3 linked regions of the Caenorhabditis elegans genome follow. The protein of the gene in region 1 purifies or fractionates together with the protein of each later gene. This does not show direct contact. Each region holds a gene or a part of one and is shown in the gene's direction. Other genes may lie near its edges.

Region 1 (7,203 bases):
ACGTTATGTATGTCTCACTTATGACACAAATGCAGTAGGTGGTAGGGCTTAGGGCTGAAACTTTTAAGTTTTTTTTTGGGACCAAAAAAATTAAAAAATCCGAAAAAAAAACAGAGTGCCGTGTCGAGTCTCGACTCGAGACTATTCTGAATTAAAATTCATAAAAACATGTATTTTATACAGTTTTTACAGTTGTGTATTTTAATACATTTTGCAACATCCCCATTAAAAATAAACTCGGGCAACAAACATTTTTGGTTTTTCAAAAATTTCAATTTTTGGTTTTTTGGTCCAAAATTATTTTTTGGTTCCATCCCAAAAGCCAGTATATGGGTGTAGCTTCGTTCTAAATGATTTTGTTTTATAGCGAACCTTTTGACGTAGTATGTTGTCATTATCTTCATCATTGTACAGCAAAACAAACCAAACATATTAGCGGATCACTCATTTTACTGTTGTTTATTGCCCCCCTCTATCTCCACACTCTATGCCTCTTGACATTACCGATAGTCCTCTTGCCCTCCTTTTGTTGCCATCTGCTGTCCGCATCTCTCTCTCTCTCTACCTCTTCTTCCAAGTTTATCGATTTTTGTTAGCAGAACATACGATATTGGCAATTCGAAGCCATAACGTGGTTGTTGCTGCCACTGTTTCGAAAGCTATAACATTTATGTTTCCCCCCGCTCTGGAAAAAAATTGTGTTGCGATTTCTCTTTCTTTCGTTTGTTTATTTCGCATTTGAAGCCTCTGGTGTTCCATTTTTCAAACAAGTCAATTTCTCGGAATTTATTTCCAAACTTTTTGTAAAACGATTGTTGCTCAATTCTGCCAGAATTAAGTGAATTTATTACTCATGTATGATATTTAATATAAGCTATTTTAAGAACAATTATTCCTGCCTCATACGCTCACTGACAAAGCGCACATGTTATTTGAGTTTTCAATTAACTAATTGATTTGTGAATCTACACTGCAGTGGGCAGGTATATCGGTTTCAATACCGACTTCGCTACGAAAGAAATTTTAACTTAAAAAAATTTAAAATTTCAATGAAAGTTTGTGAAAAATTTCAAGATCTGACCTCAAGCGAAAATACTTTAAAATTACGTTATCATTTCAAAAACTATAGAAATGTTTTGATCTACGGTTTTCACACATCTAGCTAAACTTTTTTCAAATAGTTTAATGCTATTTACTTGCCAATATGAATTGAAACTATTTTAGAGTATATCTGAAAAATTATAGTTGCAGTTTTTGACATTTGATGCTAACCGGACACAAATCAATAGGATTTTTGTATTGACTTAGTATTTTTTGAAATTTTCAGCGAAATTCTGAAAGGCACACCTTGTGCATATCTAACTTCCACATGAGTGTTGTTTTCAGTTGTGTTGTTTCTCTTCTTCCAACTGTATAATAAAAACCCCCTAGAACATTTATGAGGCTCTTCACCCTTTTATCAATCTGCGTGCCAAAATTCGAACGAATAGTTAGTAGGCAGGCACGTAGGTATGTTTGTTCTGACCTTCTTCGCTCAACTTTAGCGGTTTATATTTCGGTTGTTCATGTGAAGCTGTAAAAATTGAATTGGGGACCATTTTCCAAAAAACTATATATTTGACTTTTTCGTTGATTGCACCAAAATAGGGTTTCAACTATTTTCTTCCATGTATCATTAACTTAATATATGCCTACTCGTTTTTAAGATTACACCCAGAAGCACAAATGTAAAGCTCTGCTATGTTCTGTATCATTTCGTTTCCATCATTTCTCGCCGTTTTCATATCAAAAAACTTAGAATGGGAGAATCTGTCAATTAGTAAACGTATACATTTTTTGGCACCTGTAATTCAGATAAACGAATTCGAAAAAACAAAACAATTACATTTTTTATTTCAGTGTCACCGTCATGTCGTCGCAAAAGTCTGGAATTGTCGTGCAAAGTGATGAGACCCATATTCTCATTTCTTCAAGTCATGATGTGAGTTTTTTCTATTTTTAAAAAATTTAAAACTTATTTTTTCCCAGATATTCGTGGCAGATCCAGACCAAAATACAAAGTTGGGCGATTCGGTTTCCTTCACGACTTGGTAAGTTTTTGAAATATAATGACTTTCTTTATATTTTATTTTCAGGGACATCGCCAACAATTTGAAACGTGCCTCTGACATCAAACCACGGAACCAGATTGTTGAATCCGTTGTGTATGAGCAAGATCAATCATTGAGGCTCAGATTGAAGATTTTGGGGTTTTACGACTTCACCAAATCTCAGCAAAGAGTTTTTAGAACTGACTTCATTACGGTAAGAATTTCCAGAATGCCCAGGTTGTCAGTTATTATGAAACTTTCAATTTTCAGCAAGTTCGAGAAGGAGAGAAATTCAAGTATCTTCCGAAAAACGCATTTTTCGGAAGGCAGATTACAGTCAAACTGACCCACCAGAAAAACTCAATTGTGTGGGAACTTGATGAATTCGAAGAACCCGTAAGTTTTTTGATAGATTTTCCAAAGAGGTAAGATGTAAGCCCGACCCTCTCTCGCAATCTAGTTTCGCTAGGGGCTAAATTATTCAAAACCACTACTACATAGGGCTAAAATTTAAAAAAAGTTTTTGAAAATTATTTTTTGGTAAGTCAAAATGTTTGAGAACTTACTTTAGTTTTCACCACTCAAAAATTTGAAATTCAACCATACAAATATTTTATTACGAGTTTAAAATTTTAATTGCGTTTTAAAGGTTTGTATTTAAATTCTCTGTGTTTAAACCTACAACAATAACAAAAATTTTGATAAAAAATTTTGAAAAATCTAATACTTTTTGGAGTGTGTTTTATTATACATTAACCATGACCGATAGGGTGCGAAGAGGGTGATTGAAGATACGCCCTCGTGGCACCTCGATCAAATATCTGGTTTTTTATGTTTTATTAGGAAATCTTATATCTTATAACATTATAACAACTTAATTGTTTCAGAAAGAGAAGACGTATTCATTAATTGGCCAGATTTACTACACTGATTTCAGTGATGCATATGTCTATGTTCCAGGATATCCTGAACCGTTTGTAATATCGAAGGAAACGTTAGTTGTGCAGACTTTTGGGATCTCTACCAATCATCAATATTTCAGTAACTTCAGCCGATCAGAAGAAGGCACATGGGTCAAGTTCTTAGCCTGTACGGCGACAGCTTCTGTGAAGAAATCGGAAGGATTTCAATTCCTGGAAAAGGATCTATTAGATACCAACAGGAATAGAGAAGTGAGTGAATAATATTGACAAAAAATTTAATTAAGCTTTATCCGATAATGATTTTTCCAAATCTAAATCTTTTGAAAGCTAAAGCCATTGAGAACAAAAAGATAAAAAACTATTGAAAAATTTAGTAAGAAAAAGTGATGCAAAAAGCCAGTAAGTGGGCGGGGCTTAATCTGATACTGTACATGATGTGGAAACACGAAAAAGGGTATATGTATTCCTAAAGTTATTTTTATAAGCTCAAAGTCTGTTCTTTGTTCTGTTTAAAGTTTGTAGTATTTAAGAAAATATCCAAGTAAACCCCTCTCGTATCATGGCTTTTTGGATTTTCTGAATTAATTTTTTTCTGTATACTCCTAGGCATGTTTTCTATGAGCCTGCTTTGCGCCTATTTTCCGCATTTTGGAGTGATATCCGGTGTTTGTAGGTTCACTTCGGCAGCAGGCACGCTTGTATGTCTAAGCAGGCTTCTCTGCCTACATGGAAGGCCTACCTTACTATTTAATATTATTCATAAATATCAGAATGGAATAGGTCTTCCATGGTAGATATGCGCAGTTTCAGGGTCTGACTCCTGCCTGAAACCTATCTGCATTTTGGCGTGAATCAATGTACATATAATGATATCATTTAACTAATTTTGACGAATAGAACATTTGAAAAAACCCCAAATTTTTAATTCATTATTAAGTATAAACCGCAAAACGTTTATGAATTTCATTCAGATTGCCATCAAATGTTCCCGCAAAGATGGAATCATCCAATCACATCATTTTGAAAAGGTTATCGATAAGGATAACAGATTAGGTAAGATATTCATCAAAAGACACATTTTTCGAAGAAAATTTAAATTTCAGCTGATTATGGAGTTCTCTCGGATTTTGAAAATGTTCTAATCTATGTCAAGGTTTCAATGGAAGGTGTCAGCAAGAAGCCCTCGCTGATTCTTGGACAATTTCAAACGAGTTTCAACGTGAACCCCACGCTCACAAGAGATCAAAAAGAAGCACTCGATCCTCCAAAAAGAATTCTCAAGAAGCAGTCTTCTCTTCCAAGAGAGGGGTCATCCCGAAAACAAGTCACACAAATTCAAAACTTGTCAAGAAAAATCGAAACCGGGCCAAGAATCAATTTTCTCCCCAACTTTAATAATCAGGATCAGTGAGTCTTTTTATTCAATTCAATCTCTATGTACACAACATTTTCTATTTTTTTTCCAACTTTAATTCTATTCCAGCGGCAGTGAATTCTTCTCGGACAATGAAGAAATGGATTTGGTTCCACCACTTGAGAATTCCCATCTTCGAGTTGATCCGGTTCCTGTTCCTATTGAACCGTCGATTCAACAAAATCGAACGACAACCACTGCTCCAATCTCAGCACCCGCGAGACGTATTTCAAGTAATGAGTCAAGGTGAGGATTTTCAACTTAACTTAAATATGATAGTATTAACCCAGTTTTAGACGAGAAAATCCAAATTCACAACCAGCACCTTCAAAAATGCAAAACGTTTTCCGAGAAGACCCAGAAGCTGAGTATAAGCGTCCAGAAAGAAGCAATGCTGATAATGATGAAACTTCAAGCACGATGTTAGTATAGAAACTTGAGTGTTTGTTCTGTTATGTCAACTTTCTGGAATAATTGTCAATTTATTTTAAACCGCTTAAATTACCAATCCGGTCCTTTGCAATGTCTCAAAAATTATTCTGTTTACAAATTCATGAAAACTTTTTTCTTACAAAAAATTTGAAAGAACCGCTAAATTTAAGAAGTTTCTAAAATATGCCAAAGGTTGCCAGAAACCTGCACCTAGTTTACGCACATCCTCACTGTTTTCTTATTATGCAAAGTTTCTGAAACCAAACAGAAAATATCTATAACTCAAGATATTTCTAGAATTGAAACTTTAAACTAACAAGCTATTTTGGTTGCATAAATAATTAGATGTTTGTTGAATTGTCTGAAATTTGTATTAAGTTTCAGATCTGCGTGCTCTTCAAAAAGCCGCATTGTTCGTGAGAATCCAGATGCCAATTATGAAAGGTATTCTATTGAGAAATAATATAAGCAATATATCAATTCCACTTTTAGGCCTGCTCGTCGGCTCCCAACTCCTCCCTTGGAAGCAAACGACAACTTGGAGCATCAAAGCCATGATTCATCATCGACAGACGGCTTAAGAGACACTTCACCTGTTGGAAACAACACGAACCCCCGCTCAGGGTGAGTTATGCATGTTTGGGAAAATTTAAAGCCATATTACGGGTGCCCCAGAGCTAGGGATGGCAATCGGCAAGTCCGGCAATTGCCGAAATTGCCGTAATTGCCAATCCATTTTCGGCATTTTTCAAACCTAATTATATTTCGGAAATTGAAAAAAAATTCACATTGTTTTTTGTATTCGGTTAGTCATTTTCTAACAGAAACATTCAATCCTTTAAAAATTGCATAAGTTTGAGCTTGAAAATAGAAAATTGTTTATTGAAATGCATGTTTAGGCTCCTCTACAAAAAGTAACAAATTTATATTTCCGACAATTCTAGCAATTGCCGGTTTACAAACTTTCTGAGAATCGGTAATATTGGCAATTGCCGCTTTTGTGAATGTTGGGCAATCGGAATTTTCGGAAGTTGCCGAGTTACCGAATCACATGACAATCGTATTTTTTACTAAAAAGAAAGATAATTTTAAATCAATATTACTAGACACAGTTCCCCTGAATTATTCTATCAAACGTGGAAGACATTATAGATCACCAAGTTGCCACTCCGACACACATTCAAGCGTGTCAAGTTCATTATGGATCACCACTATCAACTCATCAAAAGATTTGGAATTTGTTAAAAACGAATATATCAAACTTTGGATTGAAGATCAGGCTTCACAAAAAGAAATGAAGAATCTCAAGGCAAAGAGGATCGAATTGAAAATGAAACAGAAGAAATTGAAAGCTGAGCTCAACGATGAAAAGATGAAGAATCAGAAATTGGAAGAGGCAGCTTTCAACGACAGAAAAGAAAAAGCTGAGTTGAAAAAGAAAGTCTCCAATTTGGAACAATCTGCGCAAAACACCCAGAGAACTCTGCAAAATCAAACCAGAGAATTGAACTTATATAGTACCGTAAGTCCTTCTACTGAAGCTTCCACCTAATTAACTGCACTATTTCAGAACAGATCCTGGCTCCGAAAAGAGTTTAACAGTACTAACCTCTTGGAGCATCTCCGACGCAACTACCACGACCTTTCCAAAAGATTGGAACAATTTGCCTTTAATTGAAAAAAATGGCAAGATACACATAACTCCTGTACCAGTTATCTGAAAAAAGATGACTTCATTTACTAATTGAAACTGAATTTTGATGCTGTCAATTCTTGTAACATTCATTGATTGTAACTGAAATGTGAAAACATTGCTGGATAATAAATTCATTGTTAATAATAGAGCTTTAAATCATATGGAACTTTCAAAAAACAACTTGAGAAATTCAGAATAAAACTATTTCAGATTTGTAACGAAGCATGTCACGCAGATGGAACATTTTTCAGAAAAGCTGCAGTATCTAAAACAATTTCAGAGTGTGGCTGAAGATAATAATTTTTTGGAATTTAGAGTAAATTTTTACTGGCAGCTAAACTAAAACCGGAATTTCAATTGAATTTTGAACGGTGAGTGCCGATTTTTTTGTTTATAAAAATATTCAGAAATGAATGAGTGAATCTGTGAAATTTTAACAAATTTGGGTGTTTGTGGTTGACGATAATAATTTTTGAAACTTGCATTTTTTTTTTGGAATTTGGAGTAAATTTTTAATATACTGCTGAAAGTTGTTCCAATTTTGAAGAATAACTTGAAAGCCTTTCCAAGAACAGATCGTTGTTGAAAATTGTAAAATTAGTGCAAACCGTTCCAAATACACTCGGCATTTGGCTCCAGCTTCCTGCC
Region 2 (5,285 bases), on another chromosome or scaffold:
AGATCAAATATTCGAATATTTCTCTCTTTTATACTGTTAAAACGTGGAAACGTGTTCTTTTAAATTTTTAATTAATTTTTTTTTGAATTTCCGTACTAGTTCCATGTCTCAATGACCGATAGACGCATTTTCCACGCTGTTGACTAGCGCGTCAAGCGCGCTAGGCTTCGCAGTAGTTTAAGTTGGAAAACTCGGGAAAATTTTGATCATTTTGAATGAAAACTGATTGAGCCATGGTCATTTGAGATAATATTATTTCTGGGTCTTTTCTATCCGTGTATTCGGGCCTGCGGCCCTCAACCTGGATTATTGGGCTCAGAGTAGGCTTAAAGATTGTCCAATACTTCTATGTGTATTTGGGCCTGCAGCCCTCAATCCGAATTAACTGATCTTTTCAAATACAGACGTAGTCTCATAAAAGTCCTCCAGCCTGCTCTGCTGGAAGTAGGGATAGAAAAAGCCTAAAGTTTCTAAGAGTAAGCAGGCAGCCCTTATCCCTGATTTTTGGATTTGAGTGAAATGAAATAGCATTTGGCCTGTCCTGCTGAGGTTAAAAGTGGCCATAATGTTCAAAAAGTGCGGTCCTCAATATGATTGGAGCTATTGAAACAAATTGCTCAAAAAAAAACGCCAATCCTAAGCTAAGATATAAGTTCTCAAAGTGCAGTCACATTTCTCGGGACACCTCATGTCGAAAACGTGCCCTTATTTTTTATTTCTGTCAAGTGTGCAATTTACGGATTTAATATAGGAACACTTGAAAGCCCGGAAATGTCGGCTGCGGTTCTTGGTTGATTTTTTGTTAATACAAGCTTGAAAAATCTTGTGAGATGTCTTCTACTGTTTCGACATTTTGAAAGGAACCGGGAAAGTGTCGGCTGCAAACAAAGTTGATATTAAAGTCAGCATCCGACATCTCAATGGATGTGGCCAATTTTGAAATGGAAGCCTGTGCTAATGCACCATGATAAACCCGAATAAAAGGGCACTGAAGATCAATTTTCATTCTTTTTTTCGCATTTTTGGCGACCCAATATCTACCAATTTTCCAGCGTAAAGTTAATTTTCTGCCTGTTTTTTTTTTGCAAACACGGCAAATGTTGTAAACAACATATTAGTATCAAGGTCAGATTTGGTCCAAACCAGCATGATTCTTGCCCCCCTCTACCCTAAAATAGTTTGTCAAATAGAAGCCTCAATTGATTTTTCACATGAAAATTTTTCAAATACCAACTTAAAAATATCATAACTCAGCTGAAAGTTGAGCTAGCAAAAAGTTTTCCACCAACAAAATGTTTGAAAATTAATTTGAAATATTTTTGTAGTTGACAACTTTTCAATAGCTCAATTTTCAGCGGAGTTATGAGCTTTTGAACTAATTTTTCACAAAAAAAATCTATAGAATCTCTTTTATTCTAATTCTCCATTCACATCAAGTAGTCCGGGTACGTGTAGGCTCTCTATAGAGGACCGATGCTCAAGGTCAACAGAGATAAACATTCCCGCCCCGTCTGCGACAGATGGACAGAGGTCACCTAGTTATTTAGGGTAGTCTAATGGTCCCTATTGCCTCTCCAACGGGGGTATGTAATAGGGGGAAGACGGACAATTATTGGGTATTTTCCACAAGTTTTGAACTATTTTTTGGCTGTTTTGTCCGATTTCTGACAATTTTTGGACTATTTCTAGCTATTTTTCGACTATTTTTTTATATTTTCGTTGAAATTTTGCTATTTTTGGCTACACTCTGGCAATATTTTACTACTTTCGAATGCAGCTTTACTACTTTTTGGAAATTTGTTTACTAGATCATAGTCATTTTTTGTCAGTTTTTCACAATTTTCTCGTTTCTTTCAACGTTTTTCTCACTTTTCGCACCAATTTCCCACTTTTTTACAGGTAATAAATACCTACATATGAGCTTAACACCACTCCCATATGAGTGCCAGAAATGTGTACTACAGTTCTTTGAAGCTAATAGGAGGTATGCTTTTATTTTTTTTTGGAATTCTGATTGTAGAGCTGAAAAAAGTTTTTGAAAAGCTATTAAAGTTTAAAAAGAGTTTGGAATATATTTTAGTAGGTTACTTTTTCAGAGCAAAAGTTGATAAATTTACAGTCGATGCATCATGTTTTCCTCAACTTTAACAGCTCAAAATTCAATTTTCTTTGTGTAAAAATTTATTAAAACGGGCTTCGGTAGAAGTATAATAACTTAAGCAATTTTCTGTCGATGAACCATGTTTTGCTCAAATTTTGAGCCGTTCCTAGAAGTGGGGCAGCTACCAATATTATTTTTACTTTTAAACACCTATCAACCTACTTAAAATATTCCAGATTTAAATTAGTGGAACGATGTGACTCCCTAAAAGCAGCCGACAAAGCTGCTCCCCTCCACATCTACAAGCTCTACATGAATCCCCGTGTCATCCGAATCAACCGACATAGGTACACGTTAGGACTGCTCCGCCACCTACCGAAAGACCATGTCTACTATAGTCCATATATCAACAATGTGAACTTAGATGGAGGTGCTGCCTATGATATGGATCAGTATGGGCTTAAGGATCCCCGCTGCAATGAGGTTTTGAGCCCTGGAGATTTGAAAGTTGAAAGCAAGGAAAAAATTAATAATATGGAGGATATGACAATGGAGATGTTGCAATTTGCAATGCGGGATTTTATAAGACCACAGGGGCGGATGCAGGTGCAGCAGAGGGAAGGTAGGTGATAAGGAGTCCAGTGATATGTCGGCTGCTGTTTAAGAAAATTTAGAGCACTATCTCAGTTGACAAATTTGTGATAGCTTGATTTCTAGCTGAAATATGATAGCTTAAAGTGTTTCGGCGGCCAATTTTTGTTTCGGAAAATCTCAAAAATATATTTTTCAGACCCTGAAAGCTCTTCCGAAGATGATGAGGATGAAGCAGAAGATCTTCCAGCAGAAGGATCAGATGATGAAGACGATGACCCCCAGGAAGCTCAGATCCGGCGTATCCTCGGCGACGCTTACCTCCCAAGAGCACGCTATTCATCTTCAGAATCCGAAGCATCTGAATCCGAAGACGAGCCAGACATAGATCCAGCAGTCACCGACCAACTCGAAGCATACACGAATCCATACAGCTGGCGAGAGGAAAATGAACCAGCTCCATACAGATTTGGCATCAGATTCCAAAGGATGAACTTAGACTTCAGGCGGGACAGGGAGACTTTCCATGGGATCATTGAGTATCTGGATTATAACAAGAAAATGTATGATGCGATGAAGTATATCACAGAGAAGTTGTTCGGAAAAAGAGCTCACCCAATTGTGATAAAGACCCTGGAGCTTGGTGATGCAGGTGGGGTCTACCGACTCCCCGAGAATTTTAAAGTGAAAGTTTCCAATATGAGATTTGGTACGGAGTTCGGACTGCTTTGGGATGGTCTGAACAGTATTTTCCACGAGAGCACTCTGCCTTTCAAGAGCTTGCATATGCCTCTAGAGCACGACCACCCAGTTATCCATGCCACCCAGCGTCTGGTTATCGGAACTGAGAAAATGTTTGGGGAGAACTTTGCCTGGATCCCTTTCCTACTGAAGCTTCCACAGAAGAATGTCTACATGCTTCATAGTCCACTGTTCCATCATGACTATGTGCAGCTGATTGATAATTGGATCGAGACACCGAAGAGTATTGGGACCTGCTTTACGTTTGGTGTTAAGCAGTATCACGCCACCCAATCCACATTGAACTTGCTCGGGGATCATCCGATGGTTGTGAGCAAGAGGATGGAGGGAGTAGAGTAAGTTCGCAAAATTCAGGATGCATCGATGCACCAGCTGGAAATTTGGAGCTCCGATGCACCATGTTTTTAGGGAAAAGTCGACAAAAAATCTTCATTTAGTTTTTATTTGAACATTGCACTGATATGTAATACATCGAAATTTGAGTTTGAGGCTCTTTAAATAGATACAAACTACCTCACTTGTGCTTTTTCGAACTTTTCAAAAGCCCGTGAAGTGTCGGCCGCTGTAACTTTTCTCCTGGTAGAGCTAGTGGAAAGTTGTCAACTACAAGATTGTAGATGCTATTATTTGCAACGGTTTTGCAGTTGAGCAATTTTATGAAAGTAGTTGGGTTTTTGAGTTATGCTCTTTCGAAATTAGTTGTTTTTTTTTTGCAAAATTATCCAAAAACTAAAACTCAAATTTCTAACAACTTTTACAAAAACTTTCGTGTTGCAAATGCGTTGCAAAAATTCTGACTTACAATTTCAAATTTTTCTGTGGCAGAACCTGTTCTGCGGCGCGCAGGTTCGATTTTATGCAAAAATTTTTTTTTGAAGTTTAGCATTACACCTCAACTATGGAGGCTTATATCTTGATGGAAAATTGTTTACTGGCAAAATAATAAATATTACTTTCACTATAATTTTTTATTAAATATTCTAAAATTATCTAATGTACATACTAGTTTATAAACTTCCAAAGTTGGACTCTTCCCAAATTTTCCTTTTTTTCCAGCTGCACCGAATTCCCTCACTGCTTCAACATCCCGCTGACCTATGAATCCGAGCTTAATGTCTACGGTAAGAAGAGAACTGAAAACTTGGACCCTTTGGAGTTTATGCCACATGTCAGTTGGTGCCTGGTCTTCGAAGTGATGCCAATTGGAAGCGCTTTACCATTGGAGGACTGATTTTTCAATTTGCTAATTTTTTTTTTCAATTATGTCTTGTTGTCGTGTTTTTGATAATCTGAAATTTGTTGCGTGGATTTTAATAAAATGTTTTTTTGGTACTAAAAATGTTCCTAAATTTTTCTATATTTTGCTAGTTACCGGCTCAACGAAGGTGGTATATTTTAAAATCTGAATATCTGTAAATCTACAAAAGTTAGCAAAAGATTGTCAATTAACAAAATAATCTACGCAAATTGTTCTATAAGTTGTTAATTTACAAATTTTTTGTAGCTCAACTTTGAGCATAGTTATGATAGCTCTAAGTAGGGACAGGTTACCTGATTTTTATCAATTTTAAAACTTAAATATCTCCAAAAGCATCAAAGCTAATAAAAAATGTTGGGTATCTACGTGTACCTTACCCTTAACGTGGATATGAAGATCGTGTAACGTGAACTCATTATCTATGTATACTAACTTTCTATTTATTCCTTAGTTATGTAATAATAAACTACTCGTCTTCGCCTCCTTGTTCGGCCTCGAATATATAACATTGGCGATCAGGATCTTTCGGGCTCACTGCACCACTGACTTCATGCACATGTCTACTTAGAAGAA
Region 3 (6,501 bases), on another chromosome or scaffold:
AGGATATAGTACACAAATACATACTGCTTCAGAATGTTCAACCATTTAAGGATACATTTGATTCAAGTAATTTTAATAATTAATTTTTTTGTTTGTATGTAATTTATACAAATCAGAAAATGTTGGTCGTTTACAGATTGAGTCATCTTATTGTTTTTAATCATTGATCTTCGTGACAAAAATGCCGCTCGTTTCCCAAAAATCTATTCCCTTTTTGGAATACGCCATCAAGGCGGATTTTCAATCTTGAAGTATCATTTCCTGAAGTTTTGATATAAGAATAAAATATTATAATTGTAAACTTTATTGATTACAAATCGATTTTGAAGTTGATATTCTTGTTTAACATTTTAATCCTGAAAACACATTAACAAGAAACGTGCTTCATTTGCGCTAAAGTTTTTATCTTTGAAAAAGTCAATGGACTAACATTTTTAGCTACCTGCTTTTAACTACTATTAAGCTTAAGCGATTCGAAAAATTACGGTCTTCACGTCTGTCACTGTGAAACTCTTTTTCTCCTATTTGTAATGTTCTTCACCTAATAAACTGGTGGTTGTATCGATTTGTTGTTCGTCTTCCTTTCCAATACGAATCTGATTGTTATTGTTCAAAAAAGGAACATTTTTATTTCCTCTCGGCTGACTCCGTGCACACTGTCTATTCCTCCCTATTCACAAGCATTAAAACATTCTTTGTTCGTGTCCACCGTTGTCTATTTTTTTTGCCTTCTGCTAAAAGCTCTTTCAGATGCATGAATCTATGAATTTAGGTGTCTCGATTTGGTGCGAGACCCTATTCTCACAGTTGAAGACATTTTCCGCCTTTTTTTATGGGGCCCATGCCTCTCTCAAATATCATTTGTTTATTCCATTTTGCGTATTACCGCTATTCAGCCACACGAACCCTCTAGTGCATTCGTTGCTCATTTTTCGAGTGAGACTAATGGACTACTACTAGATGAATAGGAAAATGAAAATGGAAGAATCCTGAGCTCTCTTACATGAAGAATGACAACGTATAAAAAAGTCAAAGGAAAGGAAAGGTGCTCAAGCTAGATGAGAAGAATAAAAGGAGGTCACAAGGGGTGGGCACTCGGTAAATCTCAAATCTGGTGGGAATGGATGGTAAAATCACAAGAATGAAACGACGTTCCGCTCTTGAGCCCATCGTGAGAAACAACACTGGATGGGTTAAATGTGGAGTCCGGTCTTAGCTCCCAAGTTTGTTGCACATTTTTTCCTTCCCTTCCTTTCCATCCTCTTATTCGCATTTTTCTTGTTTCCGACATAGTCTACACCTCAATATATTCTATTGTTTTCGACTTTCTTAATTAGTTCTCCACCCAATTCCCCTTGGGACAAGGCGGAGCACATCACTCTGCTACAAGAAGATGCTCGGCCATGAAAAATGAATATTGCACCTTCTTCCTCCTTCTACTTTTTTATTTTTTGACTCATTTTCCGGTTATATTCCTTGCCACATTTTTCCATTTATCGATAATCCATTATCACAGTTTAGTTACCTTGTTAGTTTCGCGAGGGATTTGAAAACAAATCTCTTGGCTCTGTTTTTGCTCTTATTTTTCAATGGGAATGCTAATCCGATTCACAGCGTTTTTCCAGGAACATTTGCATTCTTCTCACATTTAAACAAGTCCTGGAACACCACAGTGGTGTTAGTACACAATTCAAGCTGAAACGATCACAGGACCTCATCTCCGTACACGAAGCCGAATATGGTTCGGCTCAGCAGGCGAAGGTAGGTGACTTTTTAGAAATTGAAAGCAATTCGTTGGTACTAAAACCGAGGGCAGTACAAGAACATTAGCATGTGCTTGTAATAAGCCATGTAATTGTTATTCCCTTTTTTTGCTCATAATAGGTAATGCAAATTTGCAATAGATTTTTTAATTGCCACATTCCCGTCAGTAATTTTCCTGGCAAAGAAAAGGAACACAATCTGATCAATCATAAAAAAGAAAGGTGGTTTACAATTCTAAATAAATACAAATGGATAATGCATCTGGTTTCTGTAGAAATAGTGACGTGAACGTTGTTAAGTATGTTCAACAATTGATTTTCTCAAGTTGTCAGAAATATTTAAGTTGTTGCTTTTCCAAATGTTAAGCAGAGAAAAAACAACACTTTTAGTTAAAACAAGCTTCCCAAAACTAAGTTTTATTACATATTGTCTGAATTCACAGGTTAACTGATATGTTTCGAACGATTTTTTAGAAGCAATCACGTGCAATTTTGAGATTATTCTTTCTAGATTAGTCTTTCATATTGATTCTTTCTGAAAAATTGAACTTTGTCAAAACACAGAAATGTTTAAAACAGTCCTTGCAGAAAGCACTCATGTGCTTACCAACTGCGACTCCTCAGACATCCTTGCTTTACTCTCAACAAATGCCTATGAAAAACCTATACTCGCAGTTCCCGGCAGGTTTATTAGACGTAGGTTGATCGGATATTGTGCAACTCAATAATTCATATACCTGTGTTCAGACACAGTCGATTCAATCCTTGGACACATGTCCTCTGCTTCTCCAGACCGCCAGCCTTCCTTCTTTGTCACACATCGGTCTTCCACACTCTTTGGTTTGTTCATTTGCCCATTTCCGCTTATTTCGCACCCTTCTTTCCCCCTTTAGTTACCCTTTCCTCTCGCGCCAATCTTTTTGTCCGATCGAAATACATTCAACTAGTACGGATTCTCATTTGGCAAATGCAATTGTGTTGCAGGAATCAGCCGTGTTGCACTCAGCCTCGGAGCCGCCGATGGAGATGCGAATTGATACAAGCAGTGAGTGTAGATTTGCAGATTTGGATGAAAAGTGTGAAAAATGAATTTGTTTGAATCAAAGATCCTATCAATCTTTATTTTTCAATTACTTTTCTGGCGCCGTATTGGTGTCAGGTCATAAGTCAAAATAGCTGTGAAAAAATATGAGACCAAAAAAAGAAGATAAAGATAAGTCATTTGATTGACCTTATCAATCACACAGACGGATTCACTTTTTTTTTTCAAAACCGTTCTGGGTGTTATTGTATTCTTTGGTTGTTCTTATCACCCTTATCAGACAATTCGAGGTTGTTTAGCCTCATAGCTGCTAACCGTTTTTCTTGAAAGTCACACGTTTTTTATCGTTTTTTATGTTCCGTGGTCAAGAATTGGAAAATATGAAACTGACGACCAAGATGAGATGAAATGAAACCATGCGTGCCAGCACTAAAAAAGAAGAAGATTAGCAATGCAATATCATTTCTTTGCTTCTTTTCAGAGCATTTTCATGTTTTTGTCGGGGATTTGAGCAAGGACGTGAGCAATGAGCTTTTAAAATCAACGTTTACAAAATTCGGAGAAGTCAGGTAAATTTGAGGATAAAATACTTAATTTTGCTTGAACACGTTAACACTATACAAAAGAGTTCGAATCAAAAAACAAACAACACCCTCGTCATTTGGATTTAAAAAAACTTACATAACTTATTTTTTTGAGTAACTAGCAATTTTCCATAAAAATTTTTAAAAGAGTATATCGAAACCGTACTTGGCAAAAAAATATCATCATTCCCAAACCGAAATTTAATAAATTTTATGACAAAATATTGAGCAAAACTGAAAGCAATATTCTCCAACCATTGTTAGATTTTTTACCCAATCTTGACATTTATACCGCGGAAGTATTTTTTTCAGTGAAGCTAAAGTGATTCGAGATGTTCAGACTCAGAAATCAAAAGGATACGGATTTGTGTCATTTCCCAACAAACAAGTTAGTTTCTCTCTGTTTTTTTTACGAAGCCCATTGGTCCTATTTATTTTCGTCGAGAAAACTGAGCCTTGTTTTTAGAATGCAGAGAACGCGATAGCCGGAATGAACGGAAAATGGATTGGGAAACGAGCTGTGCGGACCAACTGGGCGGCACGAAAAAACAGCGAGGAGAATCGCGACAAGCTGACTTTTGAACAGGTGAGATGTTGTAACGTTAAATCTCAATAAAACATGACAGCTCCAGGTGTTCAACTCAACGAAAGCCGATAACACGTCAGTTTATGTTGGGAACATAAGTCAACAGACTACAGGTTAGTTATAGGTAGACAGTGTACTTCATATCAGTCATTAAAAAGGAAATAAATAGAGTTTAAGTTTTTGAAATAAAGAAAACAATCTTTAGAATTACATCTATAGTTTCTTCTGAAATTTAAAGAATTGGGAAATTTGCATTAATAGAGAGACCGTATACTGCTCCGGTAACCAATGGTGAAAGTTGTAGTAGCGCTAGTGGGTAAATTGCTAAAAACCAGTTCCATGGGGACTAAATGGCCAAATATTATGGCCAAAAAAATAGTAAAACTTTCCAAAAATTGTTTTGAAAATTTTTTATTGGCAGTTCGCGATCGCTTTAAGTCACTTTTATAGAAAACTACGCACTTTTATAGAAAACTACGCAATCAAACGAAAAAAGTAATTTTACAAATTAAAAAAAATACTTTTACTGAAATATTTCGTCATTGTGGTTCCATATGCATGTTTCAAAGCAATTTCCCCATTGGCTCTACTCCGCAGTGAAACATCGAAGTTTATAATTGTTATAAATTTTATTTGACAAATAATATTGGAAACTTAATTGAAACGTTTATTTTTTTTAGAATTTTTCCAAATCATACTAATATTTTTGATATAGGTTTTCCGTGAAATTTAATTTTTTAAAGTAAACTAGTGTTATTGAGCATTTGGATAATACAAACTGATTTTTAAGAAGTAAGTTGACAGGCGTTGTAATTTTAATTTTGCTAATTTCGCAATGCACATCTATGATACATCTTTGAACAAATTAATAGCAATAGTTTTAAAAAGTTAATGCTCTATCTGATACATTTTACTTGTACTGGTTAAAATGGTATTTTTGCAGGCATTTTTTAATGTTTACAATCAAATTAAGACACTGTAGTTGTTGACAAAACATAAAACCATTAAAAGATCATTTCAATTTCTCGAATGGCCTTATTCGGTAACTTTCCCATAGTTTATTAACAGAGTAAACCAGTTCCATGTCTTTATCTCATTAACAAACTTTCTAACGGATATGAGGCTATCATCATTTTTCCTCATCACATCCTACTGCTTGACACTTCCGCCTGGTAGACAGTGAGAACGTCCCATGAAATTTGATAAATGACTTTCTGCCTTTTATCCTATCACTGCCATATGTTATATCTATGTACATATTTTTATAGACGCTGATCTCCGCGATTTATTCTCAACATATGGTGATATAGCGGAAGTGCGTATTTTCAAAACCCAAAGGTACGCGTTCGTCAGATATGAGAAAAAAGAGTGTGCCACAAAAGCAATAATGGAGATGAATGGAAAGGAGATGGCTGGAAATCAAGTCAGATGTTCCTGGGGAAGAACTCAGGCAGTGGTAATAAATAATCAGTTATCAAATGCTTTGAAAATCACAGTATTTAATTTGCAGCCTAATCAAGCATTAAATCCTCTCCCAATTGATTTGTCATCCTTGATGATGCCTACAATGCTTCCAACTACAATCCCACTAATTCAAAATCCCTTCTTGAACTACGAGCCAGCCACTCTTTTGTACAGTTCCTTCCCACAATGGTGATTAATTTATTAAGACTCTTTAGGAAGAAAATGAAACGCAAAAGGAATAATGAGTCAGAACACGGTTACTTTTTCAAATTTCAAAATATTTAAATTTCCGCTTTTTTGTGAGTGATTCAATGTTTTTTTTTCTTTTTTCGAGTTTCCGGTGTTTCATTTTCCATCACAGTTTTCTTCCTACAAATAGAGGTCCGAGTACATTTTTTCTTGTTCATTTTTAACTTTTCTTCCCGTCTGATGTTTCCTGAGTGGTTCTTTTTACTTCTTTTCTGTCATTTTCCTGCTATTCATATTTTCACATTTTTCACAGAATGATAATCATTTTTGTTTGTGCAAAGGGATTTTAATAAATTATTACAATGGGATAATTGAATGAAAGTTCAAAAGCTGTGTATGTGTGGGAAGGATAGAGAAACATAGAGAGAACTAAAGCATTATGCTATTAATGTTTCAAATCATCATGACTAAGAATGTTCACGTAACAATTTATCTGCTTGACAACACTTTTAGATTATTTGCGAAATTTTTTTTTCAGAAAATTTCAATTCCAAATTACTAAGAAAAAGTTTCAAAACTATTGTTCATTTTACACGTGTCTGCACTTTCAAGATGTTTTCCGGTGATCTCATGATTTGAATAATGTGTCCACCTACACTCATTTTTGTTAGGGTCAGCAAAGTGGTATTCCAAAAACCAAAAACCTGATACTTTGCATTGTCGAATAAAATTGAAATTAAATTTTCAAAGTACAATGTCCTTCTAGGGGCCCACCCATTATTTCATGCGTCATAAGAGTCTGTATGTCTGCTACCAACTATCAGATATAAAGTGACTGTATCTTAACTATACAGCATACTGATTTCACAAATC

What was found.
Region 2: the proteins of eri-12 (region 1) and fbxc-51 fractionate together in Caenorhabditis elegans (co-fractionation; one large-scale study listed by BioGRID). This does not show direct contact.
Region 3: the proteins of eri-12 (region 1) and rnp-9 fractionate together in Caenorhabditis elegans (co-fractionation; one large-scale study listed by BioGRID). This does not show direct contact.

Annotation. Positions count from the first base shown.
Region 1 is NC_003282.8:12,157,571-12,164,773, forward strand, and holds eri-12 (Enhanced RNAI (RNA interference)), read left to right. Parts: upstream 1-1,899; 5' UTR 1,900-1,909; coding exon 1,910-1,981; intron 1,982-2,028; coding exon 2,029-2,090; intron 2,091-2,135; coding exon 2,136-2,304; intron 2,305-2,360; coding exon 2,361-2,486; intron 2,487-2,977; coding exon 2,978-3,084; intron 3,085-3,132; coding exon 3,133-3,262; intron 3,263-3,984; coding exon 3,985-4,066; intron 4,067-4,116; coding exon 4,117-4,420; intron 4,421-4,496; coding exon 4,497-4,673; intron 4,674-4,723; coding exon 4,724-4,849; intron 4,850-5,243; coding exon 5,244-5,303; intron 5,304-5,351; coding exon 5,352-5,483; intron 5,484-6,011; coding exon 6,012-6,381; intron 6,382-6,429; coding exon 6,430-6,537; 3' UTR 6,538-6,699; downstream 6,700-7,203.
Region 2 is NC_003280.10:866,915-872,199, forward strand, and holds fbxc-51 (F-box C protein), read left to right. Parts: upstream 1-1,899; 5' UTR 1,900-1,916; coding exon 1,917-1,984; intron 1,985-2,337; coding exon 2,338-2,723; intron 2,724-2,891; coding exon 2,892-3,789; intron 3,790-4,510; coding exon 4,511-4,685; 3' UTR 4,686-4,785; downstream 4,786-5,285.
Region 3 is NC_003284.9:10,165,693-10,172,193, forward strand, and holds rnp-9 (RRM domain-containing protein), read left to right. Parts: upstream 1-1,612; 5' UTR 1,613-1,761; intron 1,762-2,351; 5' UTR 2,352-2,360; coding exon 2,361-2,459; intron 2,460-2,510; coding exon 2,511-2,603; intron 2,604-2,747; coding exon 2,748-2,808; intron 2,809-3,286; coding exon 3,287-3,374; intron 3,375-3,701; coding exon 3,702-3,777; intron 3,778-3,855; coding exon 3,856-3,975; intron 3,976-4,021; coding exon 4,022-4,088; intron 4,089-5,243; coding exon 5,244-5,431; intron 5,432-5,485; coding exon 5,486-5,632; 3' UTR 5,633-6,001; downstream 6,002-6,501.